Callithrix jacchus: one gene and its partners. The protein of the gene in region 3 interacts with the protein of the main gene of each other region in a pairwise test. Links are inferred from orthologs where the notes say so. Each region holds a gene or a part of one and is shown on either strand. Other genes may lie near its edges. The genes, in order: MAP1LC3C, CXXC1, TAX1BP1, PLEKHN1 and GABARAPL2.

Evidence for each region.
Region 1: the proteins of TAX1BP1 (region 3) and MAP1LC3C interact in binary tests that used the Homo sapiens proteins (3 or more experiments, as listed by UniProt). The link is inferred for Callithrix jacchus from reciprocal best matches to the Homo sapiens genes TAX1BP1 and MAP1LC3C.
Region 2: the proteins of TAX1BP1 (region 3) and CXXC1 interact in binary tests that used the Homo sapiens proteins (3 or more experiments, as listed by UniProt). The two-hybrid records come from large-scale screens. The link is inferred for Callithrix jacchus from reciprocal best matches to the Homo sapiens genes TAX1BP1 and CXXC1.
Region 4: the proteins of TAX1BP1 (region 3) and PLEKHN1 interact in binary tests that used the Homo sapiens proteins (3 or more experiments, as listed by UniProt). The two-hybrid records come from large-scale screens. The link is inferred for Callithrix jacchus from reciprocal best matches to the Homo sapiens genes TAX1BP1 and PLEKHN1.
Region 5: the proteins of TAX1BP1 (region 3) and GABARAPL2 interact in binary tests that used the Homo sapiens proteins (3 or more experiments, as listed by UniProt). The link is inferred for Callithrix jacchus from reciprocal best matches to the Homo sapiens genes TAX1BP1 and GABARAPL2.

The regions. Positions count from the first base shown.
Region 1 is NC_133520.1:43,983,854-43,988,028, forward strand, and holds the start of MAP1LC3C (microtubule-associated protein 1 light chain 3 gamma), read left to right. Parts: upstream 1-1,372; 5' UTR 1,373-1,471; coding exon 1,472-1,529; intron 1,530-1,630; coding exon 1,631-1,686; intron 1,687-1,841; coding exon 1,842-1,948; intron 1,949-3,796; coding exon 3,797-3,995; 3' UTR 3,996-4,175.
Region 2 is NC_133514.1:93,470,245-93,474,298, reverse strand, and holds the start of CXXC1 (CXXC-type zinc finger protein 1), read left to right. Parts: upstream 1-1,252; 5' UTR 1,253-1,361; coding exon 1,362-1,364; intron 1,365-2,094; coding exon 2,095-2,213; intron 2,214-2,313; coding exon 2,314-2,414; intron 2,415-2,691; coding exon 2,692-2,927; intron 2,928-3,020; coding exon 3,021-3,200; intron 3,201-3,586; coding exon 3,587-3,613; intron 3,614-3,690; coding exon 3,691-3,936; intron 3,937-4,054. UniProt on the Homo sapiens protein: Transcriptional activator that exhibits a unique DNA binding specificity for CpG unmethylated motifs with a preference for CpGG.
Region 3 is NC_133512.1:30,310,705-30,314,214, reverse strand, and holds part of TAX1BP1 (tax1-binding protein 1), read left to right. Parts: intron 1-412; coding exon 413-637; intron 638-1,431; coding exon 1,432-1,578; intron 1,579-2,641; coding exon 2,642-2,768; intron 2,769-3,510.
Region 4 is NC_133508.1:39,187,079-39,191,182, forward strand, and holds the start of PLEKHN1 (pleckstrin homology domain-containing family N member 1), read left to right. Parts: upstream 1-1,297; 5' UTR 1,298-1,358; coding exon 1,359-1,441; intron 1,442-1,526; coding exon 1,527-1,626; intron 1,627-4,104. Other genes in the region: KLHL17 (kelch-like protein 17), read left to right, coding at 1-324. UniProt on the Homo sapiens protein: Controls the stability of the leptin mRNA harboring an AU-rich element (ARE) in its 3' UTR, in cooperation with the RNA stabilizer ELAVL1.
Region 5 is NC_133521.1:32,971,090-32,975,249, forward strand, and holds the start of GABARAPL2 (gamma-aminobutyric acid receptor-associated protein-like 2), read left to right. Parts: upstream 1-1,358; 5' UTR 1,359-1,467; coding exon 1,468-1,501; intron 1,502-1,829; coding exon 1,830-1,885; intron 1,886-3,002; coding exon 3,003-3,175; intron 3,176-4,160. UniProt on the Homo sapiens protein: Ubiquitin-like modifier involved in intra-Golgi traffic. Modulates intra-Golgi transport through coupling between NSF activity and SNAREs activation. It first stimulates the ATPase activity of NSF which in turn stimulates the association with GOSR1.

The DNA of each region.
Region 1 (4,175 bases), on a different chromosome or scaffold from region 3:
AGAGGGGTTGGAGGTTAAATTGATTATCAGTGGCCAACGGTTTAATCAATCTTGCGGATGTACTAAAACCTCTATAAAAACCCAAAAGGCCTAGGGTTCTGATTTTTGTTATGAGAATATAGGAGAAATGGCATTTGTTCCCTCTATGTATGACTAGAGGCCCATTTTCTTAACTCTAAAAGGGAGATCTTGGGGGCAGTTGTTCTTCCTTCCTTCTTTTATCCCAGAGAAAACTAAATGACAAAATATACCTACCAGAGTGTTGTACTTGGACTTCCTTGTGACAACTCTGGGTTTGTTCGGGTTTTTGCTTGTTCGTTTGTTTGAGATGGAGTTCCATTCTTGTTGCCCAGGCTGAAGTGCAATGGTTGGACCTAAGCTCACTGCAACCTCCACCTCCTGGGTTCAAGTGATTCTCCTGCCTCAGCCTCCCAACTAGCTGGGATTATAGGCTCCTGCCACCACACCTGGATAATTTTTGTATTTTTAGTAGAGACGGGGTTTCAGCATGTTGGCCAGGCTGGTCTCAAACTCCTGACCTCAGGTGATCTACACACCTTGGCCTCCCAAGTGCTGGGATTACAGGCATGAGGCACTGCGCCTGGCCGACAACTATGGGTTTTAATCCAAACTGCATCTGTGTAGCTGTGTGCCCTCGGCCAAATCGTTTCACCTTTTTTTTTTTTTTTTTTTTTTTTTGAGGCAAGTCTTACGCTGTTGCCCAAGCTAGAATGCAGTGGTGCAATCTTGACTAATCACAACCTCCACCTCCCAGGTTCAGGCGATTCTCCTGCCTCAGCCTCCCAAGTAGCTGGGATGACAGGTGCTCACCACCATGCCCAGCTAATTTTTGTATTTTTAGTAGAGACAGAGTTTCACTATGTTGGCCAGACTGGTCTCGAACTCCTGACCTCCTGATCTGCCTGCCTCAGCCTCCCAAAGTGCTGGGATTACAGGTGTGAGCCACTGCGCCCGGCCTCACTTCACCTTTCTTAGTATAGGTTTCCTTCTGTGAAAAGGGCACGGACTGTGGTGAGAATTACACAGCACACTTCAGGCTGAGGTGGATCCATCTTGGACTCCTCTCAAGGTGGTTCTCTACTGAAGTACAGAAACGTCGCCAGCATAAGGCAGTTTTACGTCTCCACGGTCCGCTGCCTAGCCAATGATTTTATTACAAACCCTAATTTCTTTTGCAAAGAAACATCTTGAACTGGTCATGAATAAAGTGGCTTTTCTCTGACCAGCAAGTAGGTGGCGATTCCATTTCCACCAGAACTGACCTCGTGCTGCTCGGGGAGGGGGAGGCGGGTGAGCAGAGGCCTGATGTCACTCAGCTCTACATAAGGGCCCCCTGCAGGCTCCTGCAGGCAGTTTGGAAGCAGCTGGAGGAATGAATTAGGTTCCTGGTTGCAGTACTTTTGTTCTTCTTTTCTTTTCTTTCTTAAAACAGACAAAGCTGTTGAGTGAAATGCCGCCTCCACAGAAAATCCCAAGCGTCAGACCTTTCAAGCAGAGGAAAAGCTTGGGTAAATTTCTTGGGGTACCTTTCTGGGTTACTCGAAAGAGAGGAGAGGATCTGGCTTTCTCTTGATGTTTGCTTATTCTCTTGTGCTTGAAATATTCACAGCAATCAGACAAGAGGAAGTTGCTGGAATCTGGGCAAAGTTCCCAAACAAGATCCCGGTAAGACATCATTGTACTTCCCTTGTGGGGGGCGGGGTTCTGAACCTGTCCTTTGAAAAAACCAAGACCAGCCAACAACTTCCCTCTCTCTGTTCCAAGATCCTAAGACTCAGAGAACTCTGAGTCACATTCTTAAGGACTGACGCTCTTGACAGGTGATAGTGGAGCGCTACCCCAGGGAGAAGTTCCTGCCCCGGCTGGACAAAACCAAGTTCCTGGTCCCGCAGGAGCTGACCATGACCCAGTCCCTCAGCATCATCCGGTAGGTGGCGCAGAGCGTGCCCGGGAGGAAGGTGTCGGGGGTGTGTGGGGGCTCTTCTGTTTCCTTCGTTAGGTGGTTTTATTTTGGGGATGGGGGTATGTCAGGGAAAGAGAGGAAAGAGATTTTTTTGAAGTCATCTTTCAGATTCACTAGTGCCCTGAAAAGATGCTCTTAGAATAATTCTATTTTAAATCCGGGTGCACCGACTCATGCCTGTAATCCCAGCACTTTGGGAGGCTGAGGTTACGAATTCGAAAACAGCCCAGCCAACATGGTGAAACCCTGACTCTACTAGAAATACAAAAATTAGCTGGGTGTGGGGGTGCACGCCTGTAATGCCAGCTGCTCAAGAGGCTGAGGCAGGAGAATCGCTTGAACCTGGGAGGCAGAGGTTGCAGTGAGCTGAGATTGCACCGTTGCACTCCAGCCTGGGCAACAAGAGTAAAACTCCATCTCAAAAAAAAAAAGAAAGAAAGAAAAAATTACTCTATTTTATTTTACACAAAGATGGCTGTATAATTGTCAGTGACCAAACCTTTGGGGTTATTTGGGGAGGAGTTATCTGGGTGTAAAATGAATTGGATTCTAGTTACTCCCATCTCCCACTGCTGCATGGACATAGCCCACCTGAAGGCTCAAAGCTCTAAGATAGGAATGGGTGGGCTGTGCCCGCTTCACCAATTAGAGCACCTGGAGGAAGTGTGCTTAAAGTGAGGCCAAGCCTTCACCTAGGCACCTACGTTTTCACACTGCCATCTGCTCCGGGATAACTGGGCACTCAGATTGCCCTTGGCATTTGAAGCGTGTTCAACTAAATATGGCTGCCTTCCTATCGCCTTGATGTGAACGCAGAAATAACACAGGAAGGAAAGGGCACACTTCAAGGCAGGAGATCCCTTCCAAGTGTCATCCTAGGCTGTTCAACAGTGACATGCCAGGCCGGGCGCAGTGTCTCGAGCCTGTAATCCCAGCACTTTGGGAGGCCAAGGCAGGTGAATCACCTGACATCAGGAGTTCAAGACCAGTCTGGCCAACATGGTGAAACTCCGTATCTTCTAAAAATGCAAAAACTAGCTGAATGTGGTGGCACACGGCTGTAATCCCACCTACTTGGGAGGATAAGACAGGAGAATCGCTTCAACCTGGGTGGTGGAGGTTACAGTGAGCTGAGATCACACCATGGCACTCCAGCATGGGCAACAGAGTGAGTGAAATTCCATCTCAAAAAAAAAGTGAGATGCCAGAGAGACTATGTATCACTTTTGTACCCCTGGGGAAACAGCTTTAATTTCATAGCAAACAGAAGTTATTTACTTAACTTTTTTTTTTTTTTTTTTTTTTGAGATGGCGTCTGGCTCTGCCACCCAGGCTGGAGTGCAGTGGTGTGATCTCCGCTCACTGCAACTTCTGCCTCCTGGGTTCAGACAATTCTCTGCCTCAGCCTCCCAAGTAGCTTACAGGTGCCCACCACCACGCCCGGCTAACTTTTGTATTTTTAGTAGAGACGGGGTTTCACCGTCTTGGCGAAGCTGGACTTGAACTCCTGACCTTGTGATTCCCCCGCCTCAGCCTCCCAAAGTGCTGGGATGACAGGCCTGAGCCACGGCGCCTGTCCAGCGCGCTTAGCAGGTTTGTGTCGTCATCTTTCCCTGCTGTGTTTCCTCGTCGTGTTTTGGCATATTTCATCCATGGAATGACCTCACCCTTTTGACCCAACTACGACTCCTTGTAGTTTCTAAATCTCAGGGAAGAAGGAGGGAGCAATTCCCTCTTCTTGAGCGTCATGATGCTGCAGATCCCTGGGCTGCCTCACAGGTCACCCCCTCACCACCCTCCTGCCCACCCCAGGAGCCGCATGGTCCTGAGAGACACAGAAGCCTTTTACTTGCTGGTGAACAACAAGAACCTGGTCAGCATGAGTGCAACCATGGCAGAGATCTACAGGGACTACAAGGATGAGGACGGCTTCGTGTACAAGACCTACGCCTCCCAGGAGACGTTTGGCTGCCTGGAGTCATCAGCCCCCCTGGGATGGGAGCAGCCTTGAGGACAGACCCTGCAATCCTCTCTAGCCCATGTGGGGAAGAACAGGTGCTCTGACAGACGTATCAGCCGCTGGCAGAAGGGATTGGATTTCTCCTGTATGTATATGGAGGAGTCTGAGAAGCAGGGATGCTGGGAGTGATCAGGTCCAGCTATTGGCAGCAGAGTGGTGGCTCTTCCTAGT
Region 2 (4,054 bases), on a different chromosome or scaffold from region 3:
AGGAACTGCAATTCAGGAGACCCAGATTCAGCTCAAAGTCAGATTGTGCTCCAAAGAGAGAAATGGGAGTAGGAGTTTTAAAGAAAAATAAAAAGGAAATTAAGGATGATTACACAAATTCTTTTAAAGGAATTATTATTGCTGGAGGCAGCTGGCCAGCATGAGTCTATAGTTCATTGGTTTTGTTCAGGAGACGCAGCACTGGTGAAATATAGCTGGTTTCCAGGACCGTGTGGTCGTTGTAGTTTGGACCAATTCAAAGGTTCGAGGCAAATTCCTGTTGTGTTTTAGTTTTGGTTTGTTTTCCTTTTTGCAAGTTTGCGGGGAGTCCTTAGAATGGCTTCCAGGCTCCATTTTACAGCTCTTAACCAGAGTGACATCGTTTTGTATATCATATTTCACAAGAGATAATCAGGAATGAGCATACCGATCTATGTTTAAGAATGTTCATTGCAACTTTATTTACAATAACATTTGAAAATGTTCTAAATGCTAAGCAACAAAGAAATGGGTAAGTAAACTGTGCTTAGGCTTATTGTGCAGCTTATAGAACTAAAATAAGATTTGATGTTAGTTTTAGAACTGTTTTTAAATAAAAATAAAATAAATAGAAGCTGAACCGTGCCAGGCCTGGCAGAAGAATGACAAGTGGGAGGAGTGAGATCCGGAAAGAGTGGTGGCAGGTGAAGTCGGAGACGACAGAAGAACTGGTTTCCTCCACCGCGGAAGGTATATAGCCTGTCGACGCCCCATTAACGCATGTGGATAGAGAAAGAGACTGAATGGAGGAATGAATAAGACTTGATCCAGGTAGTGTTTCGGGAGCGGCAGCTTTACCTGTGAATCTCTCTGACAAGCGGCCAGTGTACGTAATCAACCATCAAGATGGCGGCGCCCTTGTGGAATCCGCAATTAGGTCGCCGCCATGTGTCTTCTAGGACCGTACTAATTCGACCCACGTACGGAATCAGATTCCAAGATGACGGCATCTGTGAGGAAGTCACGCAGTAGATGCAGCCATGTTACCTGTACGTCGAGACAGTACCAGCAGCCACCGTACGGACTCTATTGACAAGGTGGCGGCCCCATCGCGAAAGCCAGGATTGAGCGCAGCCATGTTCCCGGCGATGGTATGGATCCGGCCACCATACGGATACGTAATCAAGATGGCGGCGCCTAATGGTTTGCGGCGGAGACGACTCACGGGGCCTGCGCAACAGGAGTACGCTGCCTGGGAGGCGTGACCAGAAGCGGAAGTAGTTGTGGGCGCCTTTGCAACCGCCTGGAACGCCGCTGAGGGGGTCTGTGTAGGTTCGCGGGTCGCGGCCGGGGTCCTGAAGGAGTGCGCCGGGAGCGGAGATATGGTGAGTACCGCGTCTAGTGAGGGATTCGGCGGCGGAGGTCAGTGGGGTTGGCAACCTCGGGGTCTGTCGGCCGACTAGGGGGTCTGTGGTGAGCGATAACCGGAGTCTGGACAGAACGGCGGGAGTCTATGGGCAGAATGATGAGCCATCTGGGAATTCTATGGTGAGCCACGGTGGGGGTCCGTAATAGAAGTTTAGTGGGGACTCCGGGTACCCGGTAGTTCCGTGGGAAACCATGATTGGGGGTTCTTTGGGCAGAGGGATAAGGGGGTTGTGAGGAATCACTTTGGGCGGTCTGTGGTGAGCCGTGCTGAGGAAGAGTCCCTGGCCGGGGATCCGTAGACAGCTGAGACTGGGGGTGCGGGTGCCGGGAGGGTCTGTGAAGTAAACAGGGAGGGATGCGTGGAGAACCGTGATGGGAAGTTCAAGGAGTGAGTTAGGCGGGGTCTGTGAGGCGCCACGATGTTGGGTCTCGATGACCCGCCAGTGAGTGTAGACAGAGGGAGCGGGTGCCTGTGGGTGTGTGATGGGAAGTATGAAGCCGAGTAATGGGATGTCAGGGGAAGGGATGGGAGTCAGTGGGGACTGTGATGGAGAGGTTTTTTGGGGGCCCCGATGGGAAATCTGCAGGCAGAGTGGGGATCCGTGCTGACCATGATGGAGCTGTAATGCTGGGATGAGCCGCCACGGTGGGGGCTGTTTAAAGAGCCGTAATGGGGGTGTCCCGCAGGAGGGTGATGGTTCAGACCCAGAGCCTCCAGATGCTGGGGAGGACAGCAAGTCGGAGAATGGGGAGAATGCGCCCATTTACTGCATCTGTCGCAAACCGGACATCAACTGCTTCATGATGTGAGCCCGGGAGAGGTGGGCGGGACTGACACTGGCAGGGTGGGGTAAGGTCCATTGGCTGTGCCCCTTACATATTCACCACCTGTCCCATCCTCTGCAGCGGGTGTGACAACTGCAATGAGTGGTTCCATGGGGACTGCATCCGGATCACTGAGAAGATGGCCAAGGCCATCCGGGAGTGGTACTGTCGGGAGTGCCGAGGTGAGGGCCATGCATGGACAAGGAAGTCAGGAGGGGCTTCAGAGGCGGTGGGGGAGCCACAGTGGGGGATAATGGGGAGTAGTAATACATGTCTGTGGTGAGCTGGAATGGGGGCTGCATTGTGAGTGGTAATAGAAGACCCCACGGGAAGGGGCAGCTCTGTCGTGTACAGAGGTGAATAGGTAAGTGGGACAGTAAGGGAGAAAAGGGGAATAAAGAGGTTTTGGAACCATTCATGCCCTCCATGCTCACCTTATCCCTACTCTCTGCCCCACAGAGAAGGACCCCAAGCTAGAGATTCGCTATCGGCACAAGAAGTCACGGGAGCGGGATGGCAATGAGCGGGATGGCAGCGAGCCCCGGGATGAGGGTGGAGGGCGCAAGAGGCCTGTCCCGGATCCAGACCTGCAGCGTCGGGCAGGGTCAGGGACAGGGGTTGGGGCCATGCTTGCTCGGGGCTCTGCTTCACCCCACAAATCCTCTCCGCAGCCCTTGGTGGCCACACCCAGCCAGGTGAGTGGCTGTATAAAGTGCGTGGATGTGTAAAGTGGTTCCATGTTGGCCCTGCCTGGGTCGGTGATTTCTTCTCTGGGCCCCCTCCTCCAGCAGCAGCAGCAGCAGCAGCAGCAGATCAAACGGTCAGCCCGCATGTGTGGTGAGTGCGAGGCATGTCGGCGCACTGAGGACTGTGGTCACTGTGATTTCTGTCGGGACATGAAAAAGTTTGGAGGCCCCAACAAGATCCGGCAGAAATGCCGGCTGCGCCAGTGCCAGCTGCGGGCCCGGGTGAGCATGGACAGAGCTGGGTAGGGTCAGGTGTGGGAGAGCTGGTGGGTCCATGCAGGGTTAGTTAAGTCTAGGCATGGGCCAGGTGGGATTGTGCCTGACTAGATAGGTGGAAAGAGGCCTGTCATGTCCAGATGAATGGGGCATGACAAGGTATGCTGGGCTGGCAGAAACCCCACTAACCCTGGGTGGACAGAGTGGGGCCAGGTGTTTCCAGTTGGTCATGCATGTCAGTGAGGATCAGGCAGGGCTGAGCATGTCCTGGTAATGAGGGATAGCGGGGAGGTATGTCTAGGGAGGCAAGGCCAGGCCAGGTGGGTGGGGCTAGGACAAGGCCACACTCCATCCACCTGGGGCTGACCTGGGCCTTCCTCCTGCCGGCACAGGAATCGTACAAGTACTTCCCTTCCTCGGTGAGTCCAGCCCCCCAGGGCAGGGCGGGGCATGTGGGCAGGGCGGTCAGGGCCAGTCCTGAGATTCTGCCCTGCAGCTCTCGCCAGTGACGCCCTCAGAGTCCCTGCCAAGGCCCCGTCGGCCACTGCCCACCCAACAGCAGCCACAGCCGTCACAGAAGTTAGGGCGCATCCGTGAAGATGAGGGGGCAGTGGCGTCATCAGCAGTCAAGGAGCCTCCTGAGGCTACAGCCACGCCTGAGCCACTCTCAGATGAGGACCTACCTCTGGATCCTGACCTGTATCAGGATTTCTGTGCAGGGGCCTTTGATGACCATGGCCTGGTGAGCAGACAGGCGCATCCCCTGGTGGAAGGGTGGAGGTGACAGAAGCAGAGAGTATCTCTAATGAGGAGACAGAGGGTATGGAAGGCTGATTTGGGACATGAGTAGGTGGTGGGGT
Region 3 (3,510 bases):
CATCTTTTAACCAAAAATTTTGGTGTTGCAAAGAAGCCTTTCGAATTATTTTTACTGGTTGTCATACAAAATGAGAGTCAGTATTTCTAGCTGGAGAGATTCTGGGGGATGCGATGTGTTGTTTGAGCCTCAGTTTGGGCAGGTCCTTAAGCACGGGATGTGTGGCCTGACTCCCTGTACTTTAGCTTCCTCTGTATAAAGCAGTAGCAGTGAAACTGAGTACACAGTATTATAGAGGGAACTAAAACAAAGTTACTTCTTAAGTTTTTTGTAGGCCTACACTCTGTAAGTCATGAGTAGAAAAACCAATATCTAAAATTTTGGCTCTTTTGAAATATGTGTAAAAATTGTTTCTGCTTTTGTTTTTTACTTGAATGGTTGAATTACAAATATATTTATTTGCTTTCTTCAGGAAGATACTTTTTTTTTAAAGGAGCAGCTTCGTAAAGCAGAAGAACAGGTTCAGGCAACTCGGCAAGAAGTTGTCTTTCTGGCTAAGGAACTTAGTGATGCTGTCAATGTCCGAGACAGAACAATGGCAGACCTGCATACTGCACGCTTGGAAAATGAGAACGTGAAAAAGCAGTTAGCTGATGCAGTGGCAGAACTTCAACTAAATGCTATGAAGAAAGATCAGGTAAAGCAAGTTAATTTTGAATTTGCATTTTAATTTTAAAAACCACTGTAATCTCACAAAAGAGTAAATTAAAATAAGTCAGATTTCTTATCAGAATTTTAAATTTTCATTCCTTTTGTTTAGTTATTGTAACTTCTTGGCTTGCTGTTAATGTATGCTGTAAGAAAAACTTACTTGAGCAAAATTCTTAATAATTGGTGAAAGCTGCCCTATTATTAATTGAATATATTGATGTCAGATATTGCCTTGTTTGGAATTCCTTACTAGCTATATAAAACAGTATTATGGTTAAGAGAATTAACCATTTTTTTCTAGTTTTTTAAATGAACCTTAGTCTTAAGAATGTAAAACTGGACTTAAGAAGACCCTATGTTGTTCTGTAGCCAAAATCCCAAAATAAAGAAAAAAGTGGCCAGGGCAGTGGCTCACACCTATAATCTCAGCACTTTGGGAGGCAGAGATGGGAAGATGGCTTGAGCTTAAGAGTTCAAGACCAGCCCGGGCAACATAGTGAGACCCCATCTCTACAAAAAAATTTTAAAAATTTGCCAGATATAGTGATGTGTACCTGTAGTCCTAGCTACTCAGGAGGCTGAAGCAAGAGGATTGCTTGAGCTTGGAGGTCAAGGCTGCAGTGAGCCATAATTGGGCCACTGTGTTTCAGCCTGGGTCATAGAGTAAGACCCTGTCTTAAAAAGAAGAAAAAAGGTAAGAATGAAGTTGGGGTTACTATTAACATTAGGAGGAGGTGTCAGATTTTAATTTTTTTCTTAGAATGTTTGTTTCTTTCTTAGGACAAGACTGATACACTGGAACATGAACTAAGAAGAGAAGTTGAAGATCTGAAACTCCGTCTTCAGATGGCTGCAGATCATTATAAAGAAAAATTTAAGGAATGCCAAAGACTCCAAAAACAAATAAACAAACTTTCAGATCAATCAGTAAGTATCATTAAATTTACACATAGTAAAATATTTTGTTAATATTTTTGTTTGAAAATCAAATTTATAATATTCTAAATGTCAATCTTTTAAATATAATTTATCTCTGCTTGATTTCAAGTCATTGGCATAATATTGTAATAATTCTTCTTTAAAAAAAAATCTGGAATTTTAATTTACTGGACAGCCAACAAAGGAAACAAGGGCAGGAGAGAGCGAGTCCTTTTTTCTAGATCATTTCCCTTTTAAATTCTTGATGAATATCTTTGTCACTTAAAACTCAACACATATTATTGACTCTTGTGACAATGACATTTATTCTCACTGGAGTTCACCATTAATCATCCCTAGGGTCTTAGATGGTTTCTCAGTTGTCATTGGCAAGTTCTTTCTAGTCATGTCTTTAGGAAGAAGTAAAGAGTATTAGTTAATTCTTTTGTATTCCATTTGAGAATAGGTAGGTAGATTTTTAATATGGCAAAGAAAATTCTTTTGTTTTGAGATATGTATGTTTCAATGTGGATCCTTAAATTGTACTTAAATACAGGCTTGCTATCTGAGGAACTCCTGGAAATGTAGAAGGAACATATTTAAAACTTGAAGTTGAAAGTGGTACTATAGCTCTCTTTTACTATATGATGCATGTGATACTTTCCTGGTCTTACTTATCAGAGGTGACAAAGAAACAAGGAATACATGTAGTAAAGTAGGAAGGCTTTTGTGAAAAAATACGGTACTTTAAGTAAGACTCACTCACATCTATAAATTTGGCTTGGGGCTTTTTGAGCACATTATAACTTTTAGTAGATTTCTTTGAATGACTTATTTTGGTGGTGTTTTGATGAGTTTATAAGAAAAAGCAAAATATATTTATTTTTCAACATTTCAGGAAAATGATGTGTATAATGTTAGTCTTTGTTGGCTTTTAAAACAAGAGCAGCCTTGTAGACTTCTTAGGATTTTCTAAAGTAATATGTAAAAATAATATTTACATAGTTACTGCAAGAAGGAAATATAACTAATTCATTGAATCATTTTAACAACTTATTAATGTTTTGAATAGGCTAATAATAATAATGTCTTCACAAAGAAAATGGGGAGTCAGCAGAAAGTAAATGATGCTTCAGTAAACACAGACCCAGCCACTTCTGCCTCTACTGTAGATGTAAAGCCATCATCACCTTCTGCAGGTAAAAATCATTTAGACTTTTTGTGTAGGATGTCCTATATTGAAAAGTACTTATACTGCTTTCTTTCATGTGTAAGAATTTCAGGATGTTCATAAAAATCCTCATGGGATGAGTGAGGAAATTGAGGCAAAGGGAAAATAAGGGCATAAATGTAAAATAGAGTCATGCATGTGGTGAATGTACAAAACTTTCATATATAAAATACGAATGTAAACTAGTAGTTATCTTCTTGAGATTATTCACACATGTTAAAAATGAGCTGGTGCTTGTGAATACTCATTTGGGCTACATAGGACAAAAGCCACGAATTGAATATTTACTTTATATTTCATTAAATCTATGGAATTGTGAAGCATTTTATTTGTGGCATTTTAATTTTTAAATTCTGCAGGGGAAAAAAATCCCCTGTTCTCATGTTTTTCTGTTTATTAATTTTTGGCTGCTTTGTATCAATAGGGTACTTCTTCCCTCGTTAGTGTACCTGTTGGCTGATGAGTTTTTATTACTTTTTATGAAGTTTTAAATTGTTTTTATTACTTTATTAAGTTATAGAACAGATTAGAGAGACATAGTAAAAACATGAATAGCATGAAAATTTGGATTAACTAGGTTTTCATCTGTCCTGATTTTTTTCACCTTTATGTAAATTTGACAATAATGACATTAAATACTAGAGAAAGTATATTTTCTTGTTTAGTGTGTAGAGTAATTGATGTTTTAAGTCTTTTTAAATGTAAACATC
Region 4 (4,104 bases), on a different chromosome or scaffold from region 3:
CAACGATGGCAGCTCCAGCCTCAACTCCATCGAGAAGTACAACCCGAGGACCAACAAGTGGGTGGCTGCCTCCTGCATGTTCACCCGGCGCAGCAGCGTGGGCGTCGCGGTGCTGGAGCTGCTCAACTTTCCGCCACCATCCTCGCCCACGCTCTCCGTGTCCTCCACCAGCCTCTGACCCAGCCACTGCCAGAGTCCCGCAGCCTCCCACATGCCTTAAGGGGGCCATGGCCCCCACCAGGGACGCCCTGCACCATCTGTTCGCATCTTCCGACCATTCCTTTTTGTCTGTGTTTAGTTGTTTATTTATTTATTGAGGGCTGAGTGGTGCTGCAGCCGCTCCTTTACACCTTGAGCGTTTAGTCCTCTGTGTCCTCCCACCCACTCGTTGCCCCAGGGCCACCGCCTGCTCAGACCCTGCAGGCCGAGGAGCACGAGGTCCTGGGGCCTTCCAAGCAGCTGCAGACTCAGCTGTTGCACACGGTCCTCACTTGCACATGGGGGTCCTGGGAAGGATGGGAGCAGGGTCCTGTCTGCCACGCCACGTGCTGTCTTCCCTGGGTCTTGTAGTGGGTGCACACGTGCACACGGACCCTACACAGCAATACAAGCCAACTTGAACAATAAACACATTTCCTGGGCTCCTCAGGCCTGAGGCCGAGCATCTCTCTGGCTTGTGGGGCACCTGCACAACTTGGGTCCTGTTGGGGTGGGGGGTGGGGTCTGAATTGCTGCGTGAGCCTCTGAGGGCTGAAAGGTAGAGCTGTGCATGGTGGGGGGGTGGGTTGGGGCCATGGAGTCCTTGTGGCCAGTCCCCAGCTGTGAGTGGGGTTTGCCAGGGCTGGGTCCTGAGGCCGAGGTCTGGGGGTGGGGCCAGGCAGAACAGCGTTGCCCCCGTGTACCCCAACTGTCCTGGCTGCCTAGGGAGCATGTGGCCTTCTGGGTCTCCTTAAACCTTGGGGATCCTTCCTCAGGCCTGTGGTGAGGAGGCCACACAGGAGGAGAGGCTGGGGTGACTCAGGCCTGCCAGGGTGTAGATGGAAATGGGATGTGTGCCCACATGGTTCTTGGGGGCAGCCAGGGTTCGCCAAGCCAAGCACAGGCAAGTGGGGACTCCCTGCACACTGGAGGCCTTGTCTGGGCCAGAGGGGTGCTCGCCCCAAGGCTGGCCTCTCGGTGTGGTGGGCCCAGGGCAGAGACCCGGATGGCTCAGGTAGGGCCAGGCCCCTTCCAGAAAGGCTCCACCCTGGCCCAGCCCTCAGTGCCAGGTGGGACGTCCCACAGCCCCGCCTGCCCCAGGGAGGCGGCAGCAGAAGGCTGTGGAAGGGGACCCAGACCTGCCAACCTGTGACTCGGCCATGGGGAACAGCCACTGCGTCCCGCAGGCCCCCAGAAGGCTCCGGGCCTCCTTCTCCAGGAAGCCCTCGCTGAAGGGAAACAGGTGAGGGGCATGGGCGCGGCCACCTGGGCGCGGGGCTCCTCCGCCTGCTCCGGGTCCAGCCCGTGAGCCCTTCCCTCGTCCCCAGAGAGGACAGTGCGCGGAAGCCGGCCATTCTGCTGGGCCCCGAGGCCGCTGGGAGCGGGGACACCGCCGCCGACAAGCTCTTCCACTACATCCCGGGCATGGTGAGCGGCGGGCGGGGAACGGCTCTGCCTGTGCATGTGCGCCGCGCCTCCCTCGGCCCGGCTCGGGGGAGTCAGACCCCCCCAGGTGAGGAGCAGCCCCGCCCCGGGGAGTTCATCCGGCCGAAAGTCTGAGCGGAGAGCGAAACCGAGACGCGGGACTGAGTCAGTCGGAGCGCGCTGGGCGGGGCGGGGCGGGCCGGGCGGGGTACCAGCACGCACATCTCGGCTGTTGCAGTGGGGCTGGGGTCGTGCTGGTAGCGTCCATGGGGAGTAAGAGGCCTCAGAAGAGCAGTGAGCCCTCCGGTCACCTACGCCGGCCTCAGTTTCCCCACCGGCGTCTCGCAGGAAGTTGCTGCTGGCTGGCCGCCTGGTCCACAGCAACTGTGCGCACTGCTCAGGCCTCCTCCCAGCCTGCCAAATCCTCGCAGCAAGGAGGTATTTCCCTGGCCCACACGCGGCCACCTCGCCATGGAAGGAGTGTAAACGGCCCACACCCACCCTGCGGGGCCCGGGGTACTGAGGGTCTTCACAGGATAGAGACACCCAGCCCCTTTGAGACGCGGCCGGTGCTGGGTTGAGGGAACAGGAGGAGGAATCTGGGCTTCAGGGCAGACAGGAATTCCCACTGCAGCCCCCTCGGGCAACCTGGATGGGTGGGCTCTGCTATATGGGCCCCAGGGGGATCTAGGGGGAGGACCTCTGCCCTGCACTGTACAGATCCCTTCCCACCATGGCCCACCAGGCAGGAAGCTTGTGCCGTAGCCTCTCCTGACCCCCCGAGTTTCAGGGCACCCTGCAGATAGGGGCAGGCTTCAGAAACATGCTATCTCAGAGGCGTGGGCAGGGAGCAGAGCCGGGCTGGGTCAGGGGTAGGGGGTCTCTGGCTGCATCTGAGCCACCACACTCTCTCTGTCCAAGCCCAGGATGTGCAGTGTGACCCTGGTAGGGTCCTATGAGGTATGGTGACCCTGGTGGTCCTCCCTTGCCAGGACATGGTAGCCGGAGAGGGAAAAACCTGCTGAATCTCAGAAGATGGGGCTGGGGGAGGAGTTTTGGGTTTGTCCTAGAGCCATTCACCTCCACCCTGTGCCTGGGCTCTGCACCCGTGCTGTGAACTGGCCCTGCCACTGCTCCAGGCTGCGTCCTCCTCAGGGCCCCAAGGCTGAGCTGGGCTGCAGGACCAGCTGTGTGGCCCTTCCTGATTTGTGGCCTGTTTTTCATGGGTGCCAGCCCGGCATCAGTTCCCATGCTGGGTGTGGGCACAGGAGGCCCCACCCAGAGGCAGGAGGCCGGGGAAGCCACGCATCTGTCCCTTCACATTCCTGGGCCTGCTCAGGGGCAGCTAAGCTTGGCCAGGGCACAGCAGCCCTACAGGTAGCCCTTAGCAGCTCCTAGAGGGAGCAGGACACCTACCCACTTGCCCCTGAGCCTGTGGATAGGTCACAAAGCTCTCCAGCCCCAGGTTCAAGCCCATGCCCTTTCCGATCCCTAAGTTGGTGATTCCAGCCTCCATCTGTAGAGGACTGTGTGCCAGGACTGGCTGAATGTGGGTGAATATAGATTCCTCCGTCCCTGTCAGCACCCTGTGGGTGCCCACAGCACATCCCAGGCCCCATCTTAGGCTCTGGGGACACAGCAGTGAACGAGACAGAAACCCCTGTTCTTCTGGTGCTCTCATTCCCACAGCAGACACGTGATGGGACAAATAGAAGATACCGCAAGTGGGGTGGGGTTGGCGCTAAGGAGAAAAATAGAGGGGCCAGGTGCAGAGGCTCGGGAAGGCTGGAATTTTAGGACTTTCAGAAAAGGGCCTCTTAGAACAGGTGAGGTTAGAGCAAAGCTGTAAAGTGGGTAAGGGTTAGGGTGAGGGCTGAGTGGTCCCGAAGAGCTTGGGCCTGAGGTGAGGAGACAGTGAGGCAGAGGCAGCTACGGAGACCCCTTGGGGCACTGCCAAGACCTGGCTGTCACCCGAGTGAAGCTTGGGGAGCGGCCGGCACACGCCCAGGGGATGGATTCCAGAAATCTCCTCATATCTTTCTCTCAGGCTGGGGGCTGGAAATGGCTGGCAGTGGGGACATTTACACTGAGGAAATTGGCAAGCGTTATCAATCAGGTCCTTGGTGTGCGTGTGTGTTTGTAAAACCAGGTGCTAAACATTTACCGGCCAATACTGCAGACACGAGAGAGTTTTAGGTGTTACTTCCCCCACACACCCCCAAATTCTTTTAACCAGTCTTCAGAGGTTGAATAACCACAGCCATATTACACGTCTTAGGAAAGAGTGAAGATACGGTTTAATCCACTGAGTCCACATCTCAATCTCATCTCCACCAGGCAGCTCTGTGTGGGGAAGAGTGTCTGTGTGTGTGTATGTGCGTATGCATGTATGTGAATGTATGTGTGCAAAAATGTTTATGTGTGTGTATGCACATCTGCACATGTATGTTTGCATACATGTGCCCCGTGTATGTGTGTGCA
Region 5 (4,160 bases), on a different chromosome or scaffold from region 3:
TTCCAGTGTAGGAAATGATGAACTAGCATGTTCAAACATACAGGCTTTACAGGTGCATCAGAATCACAAGCATGTGGCAGGGTTCATGTGCCCAAATTAAGTGAATATTCTTGCTACGTGCTCAGCAGCTTATAAACAGATGGTGACCTAGACCAGACTGCCTTGATGACTCTGCTTGGAAGAAAGGCATTACATCACTGGCTGGAGAACCTCAAGGCATATGTCTGGGCAGGTGACACACACAGCTTGGGCTGTGACTGCTAAACCACTCCCACAGCCAAACAAGGAAACCCATCTCATGACCAGCTCTCAGGGGAATTCTCCAAGCCTGACTGTCACCTCTAACTCCTCTGCCAGTTAAGGTTAAAGGGTCTGTGATCAGTTATGTTATACTCTTCAAATGTGCATTTGTTTGTCTGTTTGTTTTTGAGACAGAGTCTTGTTCCCACCCAGGCCATCTTGGCTCACTGCAACCTCCGCTTCCCGGGTTCAAACGATTCTCCAGCCACAGCCTCCCAAGGAGGTGGGACTACAGGTGTGTGCCACCATGCCTGGCTAATTTTTGTATTTTTAGTAGAAATGGGGTTTTACCCTGTTGGCCAGTCTGGTCTCGAACTCCTGACCTCAGGGGATCCTCCTGCCTCGGCTTCCCAAAGTGTTGGGATTACTGGCGGGAGCCACCACGTCCTACCTCGAATGTGCATTTCGTAAATGTTTATTCAAATAGATTCACGAATAAGGGAAGAAAATGGGATTTGTTTAAATTCAATTTCTAGGTCCAAGGCAACCTATTACCGCTGTCCCTAATACTGGACGTCCAGGTTGTCCTCAGTGCTGCTTCCTACACAGTGTCCTCAAACACCACCCCTCCCATACTGTGCCCCCACCCTGTCACCACTCCGAGCAATAACCCCCAAACTGTCAACGCCCAAAACAGCTCCCTTGTCATCGCCAAGCACTAGAGACTCCCCTTAAGTCATTCTTACTCCCAAAGACCGTTCTTGTCACCAATTCCCTATTCAGACCTCCCCTATAAACGCTCTAAGAGCCCTCAACTATCAGCCACACCCCCAAAGAGCCCTCAGAGCCATACACTATCAGCCAGACGCTTCCCGCCACAAACACTCCCGAGACCCCACTCCTGTCACCAGTTCCCCGAACATTTCTTCCTGGGGTCGCCGATATTGCTCACAGACGCCCCCGTAACCAACTTCACCGCCTCCGCAGCCTAGTAGCCCCCAGAAGGAGCCCTCCGTGACTACGTGCGGCCCCGCCCCTTGGCATAGCTTCCTGGCCAGTGGCGCCGGAAGCCCCGCCCCTGACCGGTTGCTAGGCTCCAGCAGCCGGAAGTCCCGCCTGCCGTGTAGTCGCCTCCGTCGCTGCTACCGCCGCCGCCGTTGTTGTTGTGGTCGGTACGCCGAGTTCCACGGCTCCGAGAGCCGGTTCCATCCCCTCCCCGCCGCCGCCATGAAGTGGATGTTCAAGGAGGACCACTCTTTGGGTAAGCACTTGGCCATCGGACCGGCCGCGGGGGGCCGCGGCGGCAGGTGGGCCCCCTCCCCCACTCGGGCGGCCCTGGGCCGGGTGAAGCAGGACGTATGCCGCGCTCCGGGCTCGAGCCGCCAAGGCTCCGGTGCCACGAGCAGCCGTCCCTCGACCCCGCGTCACTCTCCGCGGACCCCCCTGGGAGCTAGGGGACAGGACCGCGGCCGTGGGGACGCCGGAACGAGGGCCTGGGCTGTGCGCAAGGCGCAGGAGGAGGAGGGCCGAGGGCCCGGAACCGACCTGTGGGCAGGCGCGGCCGTCAGCCCTGTTTGTTTCTGCCACAGAACACAGATGCGTGGAGTCCGCGAAGATCCGAGCGAAATATCCTGACCGGGTTCCGGTGAGTGATTGGACTCTCCGCCCCCTCACCTCGCTGTCACCTCTGTCATCTGGGAGCCGTGATAGGCCCTAGGCCATTCAACAGTTGACAAGTTGAGGTTCCATTCCCAGTTGTAGTAGAGGACGGGCCAGACTGCGATGAGGCCGCCCAGGGCCGGGGCGTGAGGGGCTCGGGCTGGTGCTGTTCAGGGTGCCTCAGTGCTGAATCTCCGGATCTAGGCCAGCGAGAGCTGTCTGCAGCCTCGGGGCTCCCTGGCCAATTATGTAAGGAACGATGTTCTAGGACAGGGCAACAGGTCACTGCCACTTTTGGGAACGGTGGTGGAGGGAGACTGTCACTTTGGTCTTGGAAGTGGTACTTGAGTCTCAGGACCTTCACCTTTTACTTGGAGCCTCCATCTTTACCCAAATTCTGGCTCCGTTGCCTCACCTTGACCCTGTCATCCCTGCCTGACCAAAACAATGTGAGAAGCCGCTGAAAACCCTTTTCTGTTATGCTTTCTTCCTAGTCAGTAGTAAATATATTTTTTCCATGTTTGGGGAGATAGTTTTGTAATTCTTGTTAATTTTTAATGGACATTAAGGCCTGTTATTGTAGCTCTTTGCTTGTGAATAATTCCGTTGGGGGAAGGAGGGACGGATTTGAAACTTGTTCAGAGAAGAGCAACAGGCCAAATGAAGAGCTTGGTTCTTGGCTGGCTGAAATTCCAGGCATTCCCATTAGTCCATCTGTTCTTGTCTCCTGTGTTCCTTGGGAACACAGTAGTGTTTCCTGTAGTGTGAAGGGGATCCATTCTGGGGTCCTGGAGTAATGGGCTATGGATGTGGATCCCCACATATTCTTAGGTCTGCCCAGATAAAATGTGGAAAAGCTTAGTAGTAAGGGCTGCATTTTTCTTACATAACTGACCACAGAAAAGCACTTACCGTTTCCCTATAACCCATTTATATCAATTCTTAACCTCCAGAGCATGTGGTTATTAAGCCAAAGACATATTTTCTCCTGCTATGCAGTTTCCCACCCACCTCCTTGCCCACACTCTGTTCCTCAGCTCCTCAGCCTTGAGGCCAGAGCCTGGCTTTAGAAACCCAGTCCTGACCTCTCTTTATTTTCCCAGGTGATTGTGGAAAAGGTCTCAGGCTCTCAGATTGTTGACATTGACAAACGGAAGTACTTGGTTCCATCTGATATCACTGTGGCTCAGTTCATGTGGATCATCAGGAAAAGGATCCAGCTTCCTTCTGAAAAGGCGATCTTCCTGTTTGTGGATAAGACAGTCCCACAGTCCAGGTGAGAGGTGTTTACTAGATGGGTCCTCTGGTGTTAGACATCTGGTTGGCTGCTTAGAGAACTCAAAAACTTTGGAGGTCTGAAAACTCTTGGGGGTTCTGACTAGAAATCTGGATTTTGTGCTCCCTGACATCAGGGGCTCCAGGAAAATAACGGCTGCAATACATAAGGGTGCATTTTAGATTCGGAAAATAGAACAAGGCCTGGACTTCTAAAAAAGGGATGAAACTCAGCCTGAGACCTCCAAGAATCTTTTAAAACATTGAGGACTTATTTAGGCTTAAGCCATAGGTAGAACTGATGCCTGAAATGAGGTTTTCTTCCCTGAAGACAGTCTGGCCACTCTCCTCCACTGGGAACCTGTGGGTTCTGCTGAGGCTTACTCAGTTAATCAAGCGGTTTGCGTGCTCCCAAACTTCGTCAGCTCTCTGCCATTGTAAGAGTCTATAGCTGTCTGATCCTCAAGTCTGACAAAATGACTGCAGCACAGTAAAGGGCTCTGAAGTCTCTTTACAGACTTAAACCTTCCTTGGTAGCACCTGCTTTGACTGTCAGACTATGGTGCTGCCTGGAAGCAGTCTTTGGGAGTGTAACTTGCAGCCCGAATGTAGGCAGGGGCATTAGAATTTCCATTTTCTGTGTATTTGACAGCCCAGCTTTAGTCCCCTCTGGAATGAGGAAAATGGACAGGCTCCGTCTAAGCTCCTGGTCAGTCCTTTCCTGTTACTGAGTGGGTAGTTCTAGGCTCTGATCCAGATTCTGGCCCTCACCTCTCCCCTGAGTGTGAGTTCCTGGCCACATCTTACCTTAGTGACCCAAAGTAGGTTTCATTTACCACCCCCAGAAGTAATACTTCTAAAAGTGAAGGCTTTCAGAAGCCCTGGGAACTAGCCCAATGTTGCCCAGATAGGTTCCTGTTGAAAATCCTTGAAGACTTCCTAAGAGGCCCGTGCCAAATTCCAGACTTTATTTCTGTTAAAGGTGG